Saccharomyces cerevisiae S288C: one gene and its partner. The protein of the gene in region 1 interacts with the protein of each later gene in a biochemical or structural test. Each region holds a gene or a part of one and is shown on either strand. Other genes may lie near its edges.

Region 1 (4,763 bases):
GAGCCACTAAATTGTACAACCAATATTGAGAGTCTGTTTCCACCACAGTGAACTCAAATATCCTTTGGATAAGCTCAGTAGGCAAATACGTTAAAGCGGCAACCATCCTTTTCACTTCTACCCGGAGAATATATAACTTTCGAAATCACAGCCTATATATTGCACAAATTTCACGTAGAGCTCTAGCTGTGAAGATAGAATCATCAACTTTAAATTTGCTTAAATCTATTTATACAAGAAATGATCAACTGAATAAAATAACGAGCGGCTGAAAATTAAGGGTTCTTTCGTGTGTGGAGTTACAGTCCGTTGCAACGCCTTTCCAACATGCACACAAAACCAACAGTGGCTTATTCGCCAGAGGGTACAACAATGACTCAGAAATCATGAAGAGGCATTAACAGCGGTCAGCAGTGGAGCAATAACAACAGGGTCATTACTTCTTTACTACTTGTACTTAGAATACATCACGACAAGGTGCAATGCGGCGCCTTTCCGCGTTGACAAACTCTTGAAAAGCCCATGACAGGTGGAAAACACGTGGTTGGTACGGGACGAATAAGAAAGAGGCAAACGGCACTTAGTTTGTTGGGATGGATGGATCCCATTTTCCTATGAAATCTACTACCGGAGAGCCCGTTTCAAGTGGTAAGAAGGGCAAGAGGAGGAAGGTCATCAAGTCATGTGCATTTTGTAGAAAAAGAAAACTGAAATGCAGTCAGGCCAGGCCTATGTGTCAGCAATGTGTAATTAGAAAACTACCGCAATGCGTTTACACAGAAGAGTTCAACTATCCCTTGTCTAATACGGAACTGTTCGAGCAAGTGCCCAATGTAGCGTTGGTTCAGAAGATTGAGAATTTGCAGACTCTACTGAAGGAAAACGATAACAATAATGCGAAACCGGTGTATTGCAGGAGTTCAGAAAATCCATTACGGTCACTGAGAACTTCGGTTTTAGGTGATAATGGCTCGAGGTATGTGTTTGGCCCCACTTCCTGGAAAACTTTATCTTTGTTTGAACAAAATAAGTTTCAAACTGAGTTTCAAAATTTATGGAAAGTCTTGAAACCACTTCCTGAATGCACTAAATCGCAATTAAATGAAAATGATGTTGTAGCAGATTTGCCTAGTTTTCCTCAAATGGAAAGCTGTATTAAATCTTTTTTTGCTGGACCGCTGTTCGGCATATTGCATATCTTCAACCAAGACGATATTCTGTCCCTCTTGGACAGACTTTTTATTAGAGATACCACGGACAAGAACCTAGTCATCCTCCTCGATTTGCAAGGTAATGCAAAAGATAAGTATAATCTTGGCATTGTACTTCAAATTCTTTGCTTGGGCTATTATAACCAAGATATCCCTTCTTCCGTGAGTCATTTCCTTCACACTTTAAGTGCAGCGTCCTTGTCATCATCGAGCTCAAATTTCGTGGAAAAACTACAATTTTTCTTATTGTCCTATATTAGTGTAATGATAAATTGCACGGACGGTGTATGGGATGCGACTCAAGGCGTTGACTTAATCAACGAGCTATGCCAGGGGTGCATAAGTTTGGGTTTAAATGATATTGATAAATGGTATTTGAACGAAAGTGAGGAAACCAAACAAAACTTGAGGTGTATTTGGTTTTGGGCTTTATTCCTTGATGTATCCACCTCATATGATATAGGTAATCCTCCGTCTATTTCAGATGATCTTTTGGACTTAAGTATATTTACTGCGCAGAATTTCCAATCACCGAGTATTGACTTTAGGAGAGTTAAGCTAATGCACGATTTTTTAGATGTTTCCCGATTCACTACTCGTGAAATTCACAAGAGAGAGATGAACGAAAAATTGACCACTTTTTCATTGAGATTGATTGAATTTATACAATCTAACTTTTCACCTATCGAACATTATACAAATTCAGTTTACTACTCTGATATTGATCCCTTTGATATATTGATTTTATCAAGATCTCTAAGTATAGTTGCTAGTATATACAATATTGAGATGATCATCGCTCAACAAAGCAGAATCATAGATAAGAACAGAATGGTTCAGTTCTTGTTGATATCCATATCAGTCTGTGTTAATACAATGGTATTTCATTTTAAAGAGCCTATCAACGACCAGGAGAACGTGTTAACTGAAGGGCTAAAACTGTCTATTATTCTAATCAATCCACTTTTAATACGAATAGTATCGCAAGTGTACAGTTTAGCATTTAATAGGTTAATCTTCAGGGAGAAGGCATTCCTTTTCCTTATTGACCTTGACACTGGGAAAAAAATACAATTCATTAAATATGAAGAAGAAAACTTTGATGAACTTTTGACAGGATTCGATGTTAGGACTGATAAATTTCTGTCATTTTCAGGAACAATAATAAGATTTTACGAAATTATTGATAGCATATTTGCTGTTAATGAAAGAAATAAGCGATTGTTAAAAGCAGTTTCCAATTTTTATCAGTTAACTTCAACTTTGGCGTTTGAACGCGTAAGTAGGGTTTTATTCGATAAAGCGTCCCAAGCAAGAATAGAGACTGAAAAAATTTGGCTGAAAAAGGGCATTAATATGGAGCACTTCAGTGATCTCATGATTGAAGATTTTATTAATGATGTTTGGAAAACGTTCAAAGAGATTTCCAAAGACCTTTGGTCCATTGACAAAAAGAAATTTTATAAACAATATCATTTCGATTTATAAATGTATTTATGATTGATGTATTTTTTTACATGGATTTTTTCGTCCCAAAAAGGGATGATAGTGTTGGCAGCGGGCAAACACAAAATAGTGTCATATAAGTGGAAACCCTATGGAGAATAACCATAACAACGGCCAGATAGGAGGTTAATCTTACACATGTGTGATGGATTCTGAGTTGAAAGGGCAGCAGCTAAGTGATGCAGAATGGTGTGTTAAAAAAATTAATGGTGAGGGAAATTGTCTCCTATTATTTCTACCGATGTCATCTCCAACCACAATTGTAATGATTGTTTTAGTTTCCTTGGAGCGCTTAGTTCCCTACGTTTTCAAACTTTCACAAACTCAATTATCACAGCAATGCCAGAGCCAAGGTTTTACGGATAGTATATCATTAAATCTAATTAAACTAAAACTAATGGACATTCTACAAGCTCCTCAAGAAATTAACCAAATTGGATTGGTAGATTCAAATTTGGTTTTTAGTTTCGATGTATCTGCGGATATTACAGTTTCCATAAATAGCGTACCTTCACATGTTACTAAGGATATGTTCTATATGATTTTGCAAAGTTTATGCATGCTTTTATTAAAATTGGTAAACCTTTCCACCCAATACCACTATGTACAACGGGATATTTTGAATGAAAAGCAAAAATGCTTAGATTTTCTTTTAATTTCTCTTCGTGATTTAGACGGTGGGAGTAAAGTTATCAGTCAATGGGCTCCTGAAAATTCTAAGAATTATGAATCTCTGCAGCAATGCACAGACGATGACATAATCAAAAAATTACTACATAAAGGAAAATTCCAGCATCAAGAATTTCTGGCGGACTCATTAAAAACATTATTATCTTTAAGAAACAAATTTCAAGATGTGTCGCGGTTTGAAGAATCTGGAGAACTTAACAAAAAAGAGCGCGTCAGATTTCCTGCGGTGAATCATTTTTATAATGATGATTTTGAATTGCAAGCAGACCCTACAAATGAGGCTCGACCAAATAGCCGCGGTAAAATTAAACCAAAGACAGATTTCAAGCCAAAATCTAGAGAAAGTAGTACCAGTTCGCAACTTCGCCTGGAGAATTTTTCTGAATCTGAGGCTACACCAGAAAAAACAAAATCAAGTTCTTCTTTGGTCGAAGAATACCCACAGAAAAAAAGAAAATTTGGAAAGGTGAGAATAAAAAACTAAGGCAAGTCAATTAAACGTCAAAAATTAAGGTTGGACCTTTCAAATAGTTCTATTCCTTTGTTGACGCATTGATAATGTTAATTTATTGAATGGTAACGTTATGCCATTGATAGGGAGCATATAAGTTTATATGTATTAGGACAGTTCTAATTGTTTATTATTAATCTAACGGTAGTTTCAAGCAGTATCTTACATCACTGCAGCTTCTGAGTGTCTAAATGATAAACTGCATAAAAAATAGCCGCGCAAGCTCGCCATCACTGTAAATGAAATTTAGACGCAAAACATAACCGCGGATGTAAACTTACTTAATAAGAGCGATTGGCAAAAGAGCCACAAAAAAAAATTGGATCAATATCTGGTGCATGGGTCTAAAAAAATTAAGCAAAACCACAACACCACGCGTTATGACAGCAGTTTTAGAGACTGTTTCTTTCTCTTCTATTGTATGAAGTAATCAGATTATTATATTGAGTAAGTACATGAATGTAATATTTAAATTGTATTTAACGATAGATGCACCAAAAAAAAAGAAAGTTACAGTAAGAGACTTCTTGTCGATTCGTTATTCCATGCCATACAGGTTAGCCTCAAATTAATTAATTCTTAAAATTCAGTAAACATTCTGGAATCCAAAAAAGTAACAAGTTCGTCGAATATCTCATCAATTATAGTGAGTTGTACACTCAACCCACCTCCAAAAAACCACAAAAATTAAGTGACTTCAATCATTTAATTCATTTTTTGAAAAATTGACATCATTGAGTATTTCTACGCATTTGTTCTCTGTTTTTGGCAACCGAAAATCCCTTGTAAAGAATCCATTAAAATTAATAAAGGAGATGTATGAATTCACCGAATGGAAAAACCGA
Region 2 (11,847 bases), on another chromosome or scaffold:
GACCCATTTTCTTATATCTGCCGTTCGTTTCTGAAGCCTTCACGCAATATGGTGTACTTTTAGGAGGTATTATTGCCATTGGTGCCTATATTGTTCAGATGCCAGAATTAAGGTTGATTTCTGTAGCTGTGGGAACTTCCATTACCGTTGCAACGTTTGTACAAAATCTAAGATATATCACAAATGCGGAGACTAGTTTCTCTTTTGCTCTAACTTGGCTGTTAGGTCTTGTTGCATCTGTGATCTTGAAAATGGGGTTCTATACCAACAATCCAACTTGGGTCATTTTAGATGAACGTAATGGTGGGTATAATAAGACAGCTCTCGTGCTTACTGTTTTATTCGGCATGCTGTCGCCTTATGTTAATTCAATTAATTTCGAAGGGAAAAGGAATGCTCAAGCAAAATCTGCTTCGTTGATTGGCAAATTATTTTTGGCTGTTGGTTTTGGCTCGTTGTTATTCGGAATTCATCAGTTATTGACGGATTCTTCTACTACTATTTATTGGGCATGGGAAGGTTACAATGAATCACACGGTCCCTTGCCATGGCCTTGGGGCGCCTTAACTTGTACGGTCATGTTATTTGCTTCTTTGAGTTCTGTGAAGTTTATGGGCAAGCCATTAGTTCCATGTTTGTTGCTTCTCATATCCACTGCTGTACTTTCAGCTAGAAGCATTACACAATGGCCTAAATATATTTTCGGTGGTTTATTGTACGCTATCGCTATGCTTTGGTTAGTTCCTTCGTATTTTTCTGCATTAGGCCAAGTTCAAAACATATGGGTTTATGTCCTATCATTCTCCGTTTATATTATCTTTGTCCTTGCCCATGTTTGGGTCGTTGCATACGCATTTGTTCCAATGGGCTGGGTACTGAGGGAGAAGATTGAGACGGTTCTTGCCTTTTCTTCCACATTTATCATTATTGGTGCTTTAACATGCAAAAACCTTAACATTCAACTGGTGACTATGGGCAAAAAATTCTTCATTTATGTTTTCTTCTTTGCCGTGGCCCTGCTATCACTAACAGCTAGGTTCGTGTATGATATTAGACCTACAGGAATTCCTCAGCCTTATCATCCAGATTCTCAGTTGATTACAGCTGGTATTTGGACTATCCACTTTGGTCTCGATAATGATATGTGGGCATCTGAAGACAGAATGATCAACCTTATTAAAGATATGGAACTAGATGTGGTAGGTCTACTAGAAACAGATACACAAAGAATTACCATGGGGAACAGGGATCTAACTAGCAAACTAGCTCATGATTTGAATATGTATGCAGATTTCGGACCAGGTCCAAATAAACATACCTGGGGCTGTGTTCTTCTTTCTAAATTCCCTATCGTAAATTCTACGCATCATTTATTGCCCTCTCCAGTTGGGGAACTTGCGCCAGCCATTCATGCCACACTTCAAACGTACAATGACACTCTCGTTGACGTCTTTGTATTCCATAGTGGACAAGAAGAGGATGAAGAGGATAGAAGACTGCAAAGTAACTACATGGCTAAGCTCATGGGCAATACGACTCGCCCAGCTATTTTATTAAGTTACTTAGTTGTTGATCCAGGTGAAGGCAACTACAATACGTACGTTAGTGAAACATCCGGAATGCACGACATTGATCCTTCTGACGATGATAGATGGTGTGAGTATATCTTGTATAGGGGCTTGAGAAGAACAGGATATGCTAGAGTTGCAAGAGGAACGATAACCGATACGGAGCTACAAGTTGGTAAGTTCCAAGTTTTGAGTGAGCAAGCGTTAGTAGAGCACTCGGATTCTATGTATGAATACGGTCATATGAGTGAACCGGAATATGAGGACATGAAATTTCCAGATAAGTTTTTAGGCGAAGGTGAGAGGGGTCACTTCTACCATGTTTTTGATGAGCCACGTTATTACTTATAAGAGGCCGTAAGGTGGTTTTATAAATCAGTGTAATCACATTGTGTGTACTGAAAATCTTGATAACTTAAGGTAAGTTATGTATCCACCTGATTTTTTTGACCTCGAATTTTAAAAATTTATGTGATTTCTTTATGTATGTTACTTAGACGATCTTGTTATAGTTTTGTAAGAAATTATACTTCCTGAAACGATTTATCCCGCTACTTTTTGAGCGTATTTCACAGTAAAATATATACTACAACTGAACAACGTTGTTGAACTCTATGTTAAACATCAACGAAGAAATTCTTAAGTTCTATCTGCTCCGAGTCATCATTCTTCCAAATTTCTAGTAATTTCAGACTTCTTTGAACAAGCTCTTTATTCGGCATTTGTACTTCCTCTTGCTCGTCTTGTACCTCTTTTTGCTTCCCTTGTTCGGCATTACCGTCTTTTTCACCTTCTTCTTTTTCTTCACCATTAATTGGTTCGCTAGCCTTATCCTCTGCAATTAACGCTTTTATTTTTGTTTCTTGATCTTCCACATAGTCGTTCCATTGCTTCAGTTTTCCTTTGCATTTTGATATTAGTTCTTCTTTTGATTTACCTTGTAAGTCCCTGAAATATAAAAGCAAAAGATCATTATATACTGAGGGGATTTCGTCCAAGTTGAAAAAATGCTTAATAAGCCAATTTTGCTTTTGCTTGGAAAATTTCCAAACTTCAACAACACCAGACTCTGATGGCTCGTCTTTGATCAGGGAGTCGCCGTAATTTTCTTTTACACTTTCCAATTCTAGGATTCCGGTGGGAAACTTGCTCTCAGACTTTGTCCTGAAAAATTCTATCAGGTAACGTAATTGATCTTTAAGAATTTTATTTTTTTTCGAATTCTTTTCATCCTTTGACAATTTTTCCTTCTTCTTCGTCCCTGGTTTCGACACACGCTTCCCTTTTTTGGTAGAGGATTTGCTCTCACCATTAATGATTCTTTTTTTCTCTTTCTTTGTCAAATTACCAGTGGATAAATGCGTAGTGATATTTAGTGGATCATCATCTATTAGATTGGATTGGCCTTTTTCTTTACTTTCGTCACCACTGCTTATAGTCTGTCTCTTCAAAGCAATTCTTTTCCAGGCAGGAACGTGATTTTCGGACATTTAATTGTGAAGTGAATGTTTCTTCTGCTTGTAATTTGTCGATAAAGAAAGCACTTATGACAGTACTTTGATATTTGAATTTAGCTCATCTCTTTTCGTTCCTTTTTCTCGCTCGAAAATTTTCAATAATTTGCAGTAAAAAGGCGATGCCAGTAAAAAACTACCTGCAAAGGGAGCGTTAGACATATCTTTTATTGGCGACAAATATTTTTAGCGATATATATCCGTAAAGATCTGGCGATATTCTTTATCACTCGATGATAATAAATTCTTTTACACTTTGCTATTTTCCATGAGAACGGTTGGTATTCCTGTTCCCAATAACAAAAGCGTTTGCATATTTTTATGGTGAAGGTACTATCAACTGTAAAGTATGTACAATAGATTTATTAAAGGGAAACACTTTTCGTAGTAAGAAAAGCAGGTTTATAATTCAATTGTTTTAAAGCTGAATAATGCCGTGGTGTTAAACTACGACCGAGCTATAGCAACAGCATCGGCCACACACTCTCTCTTATTCTTATGTTAATAGTCGACCTTTCAAGGATGTTCTTGTTGGAATAGAAATCCACTATCGTCTATCAACTAATAGTTATATTATCAATATATTATCATATACGGTGTTAAGATGATGACATAAGTTATGAGAAGCTGTCATCGAAGTTAGAGGAAGCTGAAGTGCAAGGATTGATAATGTAATAGGATAATGAAACATATAAAATAGAAGAAGGGATAATCGTAATATTAGTATGTAGAAATATGGATTCCATTTTGAGGATTCCTCTATCCTTGAAGAGAACTCCTAGTATATTCCGTATACATAATATTGTTGCTTTTCTCGAATCATGTATCAAGATTACTAGCGCAAGTGGTTTAGTGGTAAAATCCAACGTTGCCATCGTTGGGCCCCCGGTTCGATTCCGGGCTTGCGCATCTTTTTTACTTTATATACTATTTTTTTTTTTTTTCTTTTTCCCAAATTTTTTCATGAAAAATTTGGCGGAACGGTACATAAGAATAGAAGAGATTCGTTATGAAAATTTTCTACTCTCTTTCACATTTTTTTTTTCATAAGAATTAAAAAAATAAGCTTAATGCCCTCTTTGTACGATGGTGTCACTCTAAAATTATTTACGTAATTTAATTGGATGTGATATCAAGCACTAGTTTTGTTTGGAGGAGCAGAGATTGAAAGCCTAGCTTTTACACCGGTTTGAGTCGGTTCCTTCGTTTTCTTAGTTGGAATTGATATAGAAGTGTGTGGACAATCGATTTGCAAAACTTTTTATTTTATGTATTACTACTGAGCTTGTTTATCTGTATACTTTTTTCTTATTATTATGTAGTTAGAGGTTAGTTCTTATCGTTTTCTTTAAAAGCGACCTTTCTTCGCACAAAGCAATGTTGACAATCGAGCCAATGCATTTAACAATTGCAGTAACCAGAAGCGAACAGTGGAGGATATGAAAACCATTATTATTTCAGATTTTGATGAAACAATCACAAGAGTTGACACAATCTGCACCATTGCTAAATTACCGTATCTACTGAACCCGCGGTTGAAACCTGAGTGGGGTCATTTTACCAAGACATATATGGACGGATACCATAAATACAAATACAATGGAACGAGATCACTGCCGTTGTTATCTTCAGGCGTACCTACGATAATTTCGCAGTCTAACTTCAATAAGTTGTTTGCGGACGAATTAAAATATCAAAATCATAACAGGGTTGTTGAGTTAAATAGTGTAAATGAAATTACAAAACAACAGATTTTTAAGTCGATTTCTTTGGATCAAATGAAAACGTTCGCCAGAGATCAGAATCACGAAGATTGTTTACTAAGAGATGGTTTCAAAACGTTTTGCTCTTCAGTTGTCAAAAATTTTGAAAGTGATTTTTACGTTTTATCTATAAATTGGTCAAAAGAGTTTATTCATGAAGTCATTGGTGACAGAAGACTTAAAAATAGTCATATTTTTTGTAACGATCTAAAAAAAGTTAGTGACAAGTGTTCTCAAAGCTACAATGGTGAATTTGATTGTCGGTTATTGACAGGCTCTGATAAGGTCAAGATACTGGGTGAAATATTAGATAAGATCGACTCAGGTTGCAATAAAGAAGGAAATTCTTGCAGCTATTGGTATATAGGGGATAGTGAGACTGACTTGTTGTCCATATTACATCCATCTACTAATGGTGTACTGCTAATAAACCCGCAAGAAAATCCTTCCAAATTCATAAAAATTACCGAAAAGATTATTGGTATCCCAAAGGATAAAATCTCGAGTTTTGAAGCTGATAATGGTCCAGCGTGGTTACAGTTTTGTGAAAAGGAAGGCGGTAAAGGTGCCTACCTTGTGAAATCCTGGGACTCTTTAAAAGATTTGATCATGCAGGTAACAAAAATGTAGAAACGGATGAAATCCTGTATATTCAAATTTATATAACCAGGACGTTGCAGTGCTAATAATAATGGAATACCGCTAATTTTCCTCCTGTTTTTTCTTTTTTAAGTAAAGATAAAATAGTATTTCACTTGCACTATTCTTCTATCTCCGTAATCGGTCTCGGTCTAAAATTACTTTGAGATGTTCAAATACATGGGGCTAATAATTTTAAGGGCTTGCAAAGAACTTATATGTCACAGTGATAATAAGTAAAGGATAAACATGCGACCTGTTAGACAAATCGCACATGTCTCTAAAGGGTAAATTTTTCGCCTTTTTACCTAATCCTAACACATCTTCCAATAAGTTCTTTAAGAGTATATTGGAGAAAAAGGGCGCCACAATTGTGTCAAGTATTCAAAATTGTCTTCAATCTAGCCGTAAGGAAGTGGTCATTTTGATTGAGGACTCCTTTGTTGATTCTGATATGCATTTGACTCAGAAAGATATTTTCCAAAGGGAAGCAGGCTTAAATGATGTCGATGAATTTCTTGGTAAGATTGAACAGTCAGGCATTCAATGTGTGAAAACCAGTTGCATCACAAAGTGGGTCCAGAATGATAAATTTGCGTTTCAAAAAGATGATTTGATTAAATTTCAACCATCCATTATCGTTATATCAGATAACGCTGATGACGGACAAAGTTCTACTGATAAAGAGAGTGAGATTTCAACTGACGTAGAAAGTGAAAGGAATGATGACAGCAACAATAAAGATATGATACAAGCTTCAAAACCTCTTAAGCGACTCTTACAGGGGGATAAAGGAAGAGCTTCCCTTGTTACTGACAAAACGAAGTACAAAAACAATGAATTGATTATCGGAGCGTTGAAAAGGTTAACAAAAAAATATGAGATCGAAGGTGAGAAATTTCGTGCAAGAAGTTATAGACTGGCTAAACAGTCGATGGAAAATTGCGATTTCAATGTTCGTTCCGGTGAAGAAGCACATACTAAATTAAGGAATATCGGGCCTAGTATTGCCAAAAAAATACAAGTTATATTAGATACGGGAGTTTTACCAGGTTTAAATGATTCAGTGGGATTAGAAGACAAGTTGAAATACTTCAAAAATTGTTACGGCATTGGGTCGGAAATTGCTAAACGCTGGAATCTTCTAAATTTTGAAAGCTTTTGTGTTGCAGCTAAGAAGGACCCAGAGGAGTTTGTATCAGATTGGACAATTTTATTTGGTTGGTCATATTACGACGATTGGTTATGCAAGATGTCTCGGAATGAATGTTTCACACATTTAAAGAAGGTTCAAAAAGCGCTGCGTGGCATTGATCCTGAATGCCAAGTCGAATTACAGGGAAGTTATAATAGGGGCTATTCCAAGTGTGGTGACATTGATCTTTTATTTTTCAAGCCGTTTTGTAATGACACGACCGAGTTGGCAAAAATCATGGAAACGCTTTGTATTAAGTTGTACAAGGATGGCTATATCCATTGTTTTTTACAGCTAACGCCAAACTTGGAAAAGCTATTCTTAAAAAGAATAGTGGAGAGATTTCGTACAGCGAAGATTGTTGGGTATGGAGAAAGAAAGAGGTGGTATTCTTCTGAGATAATCAAGAAATTTTTCATGGGAGTCAAATTGTCTCCAAGAGAATTAGAAGAACTGAAAGAAATGAAAAATGATGAAGGCACATTGTTAATTGAAGAAGAAGAAGAAGAAGAAACAAAATTAAAACCGATTGACCAATATATGTCTCTGAATGCCAAGGATGGAAATTATTGCAGAAGATTAGACTTTTTTTGTTGCAAGTGGGATGAGCTTGGAGCAGGAAGAATACACTATACTGGATCTAAAGAGTACAATAGATGGATAAGAATATTGGCAGCGCAAAAAGGCTTCAAGCTTACACAACACGGTTTATTTCGAAATAATATCCTTCTCGAAAGCTTTAACGAACGCAGAATTTTCGAGTTATTAAACTTAAAATACGCTGAACCCGAACATAGAAATATCGAATGGGAAAAAAAAACTGCATAAAGGCATTAAAAGAGGAGCGAATTTTTTTTTAATAAAAATCTTAATAATCATTAAAAGATAAATAATAGTCTATATATACGTATATAAATAAAAAATATTCAAAAAATAAAATAAACTATTATTTTAGCGTAAAGGATGGGGAAAGAGAAAAGAAAAAAATTGATCTATCGATTTCAATTCAATTCAATTTATTTCTTTTCGGATAAGAAAGCAACACCTGGCAATTCCTTACCTTCCAATAATTCCAAAGAAGCACCACCACCAGTAGAGACATGGGAGATCTTGTCAGTGACACCGTACTTCTTAGCGACAGTGGCAGTGTCACCACCACCAATGATGACGGTGTTACCAGCAGCAGAGCTCTTGACAACTTCGTCTAACAAAGCCTTAGTACCAGCAGCGAACTTTTCGAATTCGAAAACACCTGGTGGACCGTTCCAGACAATGGTCTTAGCCTTTGCAACAGTAGCAGCAAACAACTTTCTAGATTCTGGACCATTGTCCAACCCTTGCCAGCCAGCTGGAATACCTTCCTTGTCAGTGACAGTCTTGGTGTTGGCATCAGCAGAGAAAGCATCAGCAATGATGAAGTCGACTGGCAAGACGACTTCGACACCCTTGGCCTTGGCCTTTTCCATCAACTTTGGAACGATTTCAGCACCAGCCTTGTCGAAGATGGAGTCACCGATTTCAGTGTTTTCCAAAACCTTCTTGAAGGTGAAAGCCATACCACCACCAATGATGATAGAGTCGACCTTGTCCAACAAGTTGTCAATCAATTGAATCTTGTCAGCAACCTTGGCACCACCTAAGATGGCCAAGAATGGTCTGGTTGGGTTCTCCAAAGCCTTACCGAAGTACTTCAATTCCTTTTCCAACAAGAAACCGGCAGCACGTTGTGGCAAGTCGAAACCGACCATAGAAGAGTGAGCTCTGTGAGCGGTACCGAAGGCATCGTTGATGTAAACATCAGCCAAAGAGCTCAATTCGTGTCTGAACTTTTGAACATCTTCCTTGGAAGCCTTGACCTTTTGACCATCGACCTTTCTGGAACCTTCTTCTTCGATGTGGTAACGCAAGTTTTCCAACAAAATAACGGAACCTGGGGCAGAAGCCTTGACAGCGGCTTCAACTTCTGGACCGACACAGTCGTTCAAGAAGGTGACATCCTTACCCAACAATGATTGCAATTCCTTAGCAACTGGAGCCAAAGAGTATTTTTCGTTTCTTTCACCGTTTGGTCTACCCAAGTGAGAAGCCAAGACAACGTATCTTGGGTGGTGTTCCAAAACGTACTTGATGGTTGGCAAAGCAGCAACAATTCTTTGGTTAGAAGTGATCTTCTTACCGTCCAATGGGACGTTGAAGTCAACTCTGATGAAGACACGCTTGTCCTTCAAGTCCAAATCTTGGACAGACAACTTTGAAGATAAAGACATTGTTTTATATTTGTTGTAAAAAGTAGATAATTACTTCCTTGATGATCTGTAAAAAAGAGAAAAAGAAAGCATCTAAGAACTTGAAAAACTACGAATTAGAAAAGACCAAATATGTATTTCTTGCATTGACCAATTTATGCAAGTTTATATATATGTAAATGTAAGTTTCACGAGGTTCTACTAAACTAAACCACCCCCTTGGTTAGAAGAAAAGAGTGTGTGAGAACAGGCTGTTGTTGTCACACGATTCGGACAATTCTGTTTGAAAGAGAGAGAGTAACAGTACGATCGAACGAACTTTGCTCTGGAGATCACAGTGGGCATCATAGCATGTGGTACTAAACCCTTTCCCGCCATTCCAGAACCTTCGATTGCTTGTTACAAAACCTGTGAGCCGTCGCTAGGACCTTGTTGTGTGACGAAATTGGAAGCTGCAATCAATAGGAAGACAGGAAGTCGAGCGTGTCTGGGTTTTTTCAGTTTTGTTCTTTTTGCAAACAAATCACGAGCGACGGTAATTTCTTTCTCGATAAGAGGCCACGTGCTTTATGAGGGTAACATCAATTCAAGAAGGAGGGAAACACTTCCTTTTTCTGGCCCTGATAATAGTATGAGGGTGAAGCCAAAATAAAGGATTCGCGCCCAAATCGGCATCTTTAAATGCAGGTATGCGATAGTTCCTCACTCTTTCCTTACTCACGAGTAATTCTTGCAAATGCCTATTATGCAGATGTTATAATATCTGTGCGTCTTGAGTTGAAGTCAGGAATCTAAAATAAAAATTAAGGTTAATAAAAAGAGGAAAGAAAAAAAAATTAATCGATTTACAGAAACTTGCACACTAAAAATACACAACTAAAAGCAATTACAGTATGGGAAGTCATCGACGTTATCTCTACTATAGTATATTATCATTTCTATTATTATCCTGCTCAGTGGTACTTGCAAAACAAGATAAGACCCCATTCTTTGAAGGTACTTCTTCGAAAAATTCGCGTCTAACTGCACAAGATAAGGGCAATGATACATGCCCGCCATGTTTTAATTGTATGCTACCTATTTTTGAATGCAAACAGTTTTCTGAATGCAATTCGTACACTGGTAGATGTGAGTGTATAGAAGGGTTTGCAGGTGATGATTGCTCTCTGCCCCTCTGTGGCGGTCTATCACCGGATGAAAGCGGTAATAAGGATCGTCCCATAAGAGCACAAAATGACACCTGTCATTGTGATAACGGATGGGGAGGGATCAATTGTGACGTTTGTCAAGAAGATTTTGTCTGTGATGCGTTCATGCCTGATCCTAGTATTAAGGGGACATGTTATAAGAATGGTATGATTGTAGATAAAGTATTTTCAGGTTGTAATGTGACCAATGAGAAAATTCTACAGATTTTGAACGGCAAAATACCACAAATTACATTTGCCTGTGATAAACCTAATCAAGAATGTAATTTTCAGTTTTGGATAGATCAGTTAGAAAGCTTCTATTGTGGCTTAAGTGATTGTGCCTTTGAATACGACTTGGAACAGAATACCTCCCATTATAAGTGTAATGACGTTCAATGCAAATGCGTTCCCGACACTGTGTTGTGTGGTGCTAAGGGGTCTATAGATATCTCGGATTTCCTGACAGAGACAATAAAAGGGCCAGGAGATTTCAGCTGTGATTTAGAAACAAGGCAATGTAAATTCAGTGAGCCTTCTATGAATGATTTGATATTGACCGTGTTTGGTGACCCTTATATTACTTTGAAGTGTGAATCCGGTGAATGTGTTCATTATAGTGAGATTCCAGGTTACAAATCTCCTTCAAAAGATCCAACAGTGTCATGGCAAGGGAAATTGGTGTTGGCATTGACTGCTGTGATGGTCCTGGCACTTTTTACATTTGCTACCTTTTACATTTCTAAATCTCCGTTATTCAGAAATGGATTGGGTTCCTCAAAGTCTCCCATTCGTTTGCCAGATGAAGATGCGGTGAATAATTTCTTACAAAATGAAGATGACACACTGGCGACATTAAGTTTTGAAAATATCACTTATAGTGTCCCCTCGATAAATTCAGATGGTGTTGAAGAAACTGTGCTGAATGAAATAAGTGGTATCGTGAAGCCCGGCCAAATATTAGCTATCATGGGTGGATCTGGTGCGGGTAAAACTACTTTATTAGATATCCTAGCAATGAAACGGAAAACAGGTCACGTTTCGGGTTCCATAAAAGTTAACGGTATTAGTATGGACCGTAAATCTTTCTCGAAAATAATCGGGTTCGTCGATCAAGATGACTTTTTGCTGCCCACTTTGACTGTTTTTGAAACCGTATTAAATAGTGCGCTGTTAAGATTGCCAAAAGCATTGTCATTCGAGGCCAAGAAGGCAAGAGTTTATAAGGTGTTGGAAGAACTAAGAATTATTGATATCAAAGATCGTATTATTGGTAATGAATTTGATCGTGGTATTAGTGGAGGTGAAAAACGCCGAGTTTCCATTGCATGTGAATTAGTGACATCTCCATTGGTTTTATTTTTGGATGAACCTACATCTGGTTTAGATGCTAGTAATGCCAATAATGTTATTGAATGTTTGGTAAGGTTATCCAGCGACTATAACAGGACATTGGTGCTATCTATTCATCAGCCAAGATCAAATATATTTTATTTATTCGATAAATTGGTCCTGTTAAGTAAAGGTGAGATGGTCTATTCCGGAAATGCCAAAAAAGTGTCAGAATTTTTGAGAAATGAGGGATATATCTGTCCGGACAACTATAATATTGCTGATTATTTGATTGATATTACTTTTGAAGCCGGTCCTCAGGGGAAAAGGAGAAGAATCAGAAACATTTCCGATTTAGAAGCTGGTACGGATACTAACGATATTGATAATACGATACACCAAA

The links.
Region 2: the proteins of NEJ1 (region 1) and POL4 form a complex in vitro, tested with the Saccharomyces cerevisiae proteins (one study listed by BioGRID).

Annotation. Positions count from the first base shown.
Region 1 is NC_001144.5:673,555-678,317, reverse strand, and holds NEJ1 (Nej1p), read left to right. Parts: upstream 1-2,862; coding exon 2,863-3,891; downstream 3,892-4,763. Other genes in the region: BOP2 (Bop2p), read right to left, coding at 1-106; PDR8 (Pdr8p), read left to right, coding at 594-2,699; YLR264C-A (uncharacterized protein), read left to right, coding at 4,374-4,490. UniProt on the Saccharomyces cerevisiae protein: Involved in non-homologous end joining (NHEJ). Facilitates the transport of LIF1 into the nucleus, where it can interact with DNA ligase DNL4 to repair double-strand breaks (DSB). Mediates mating-type regulation of NHEJ.
Region 2 is NC_001135.5:134,845-146,691, reverse strand, and holds POL4 (DNA-directed DNA polymerase IV), read left to right. Parts: upstream 1-5,758; coding exon 5,759-7,507; downstream 7,508-11,847. Other genes in the region: CWH43 (Cwh43p), read left to right, coding at 1-1,919; RNA-binding ribosome assembly factor RBP95, read right to left, coding at 2,186-3,058; CTO1 (Cto1p), read left to right, coding at 4,522-5,475; PGK1 (phosphoglycerate kinase), read right to left, coding at 7,696-8,946; putative ATP-dependent permease ADP1, read left to right, coding at 9,819-11,847. UniProt on the Saccharomyces cerevisiae protein: Repair polymerase. Involved in gap-filling in DNA nonhomologous end joining (NHEJ) required for double-strand break repair. Seems to conduct DNA synthesis in a stepwise distributive fashion rather than in a processive fashion as for other DNA polymerases.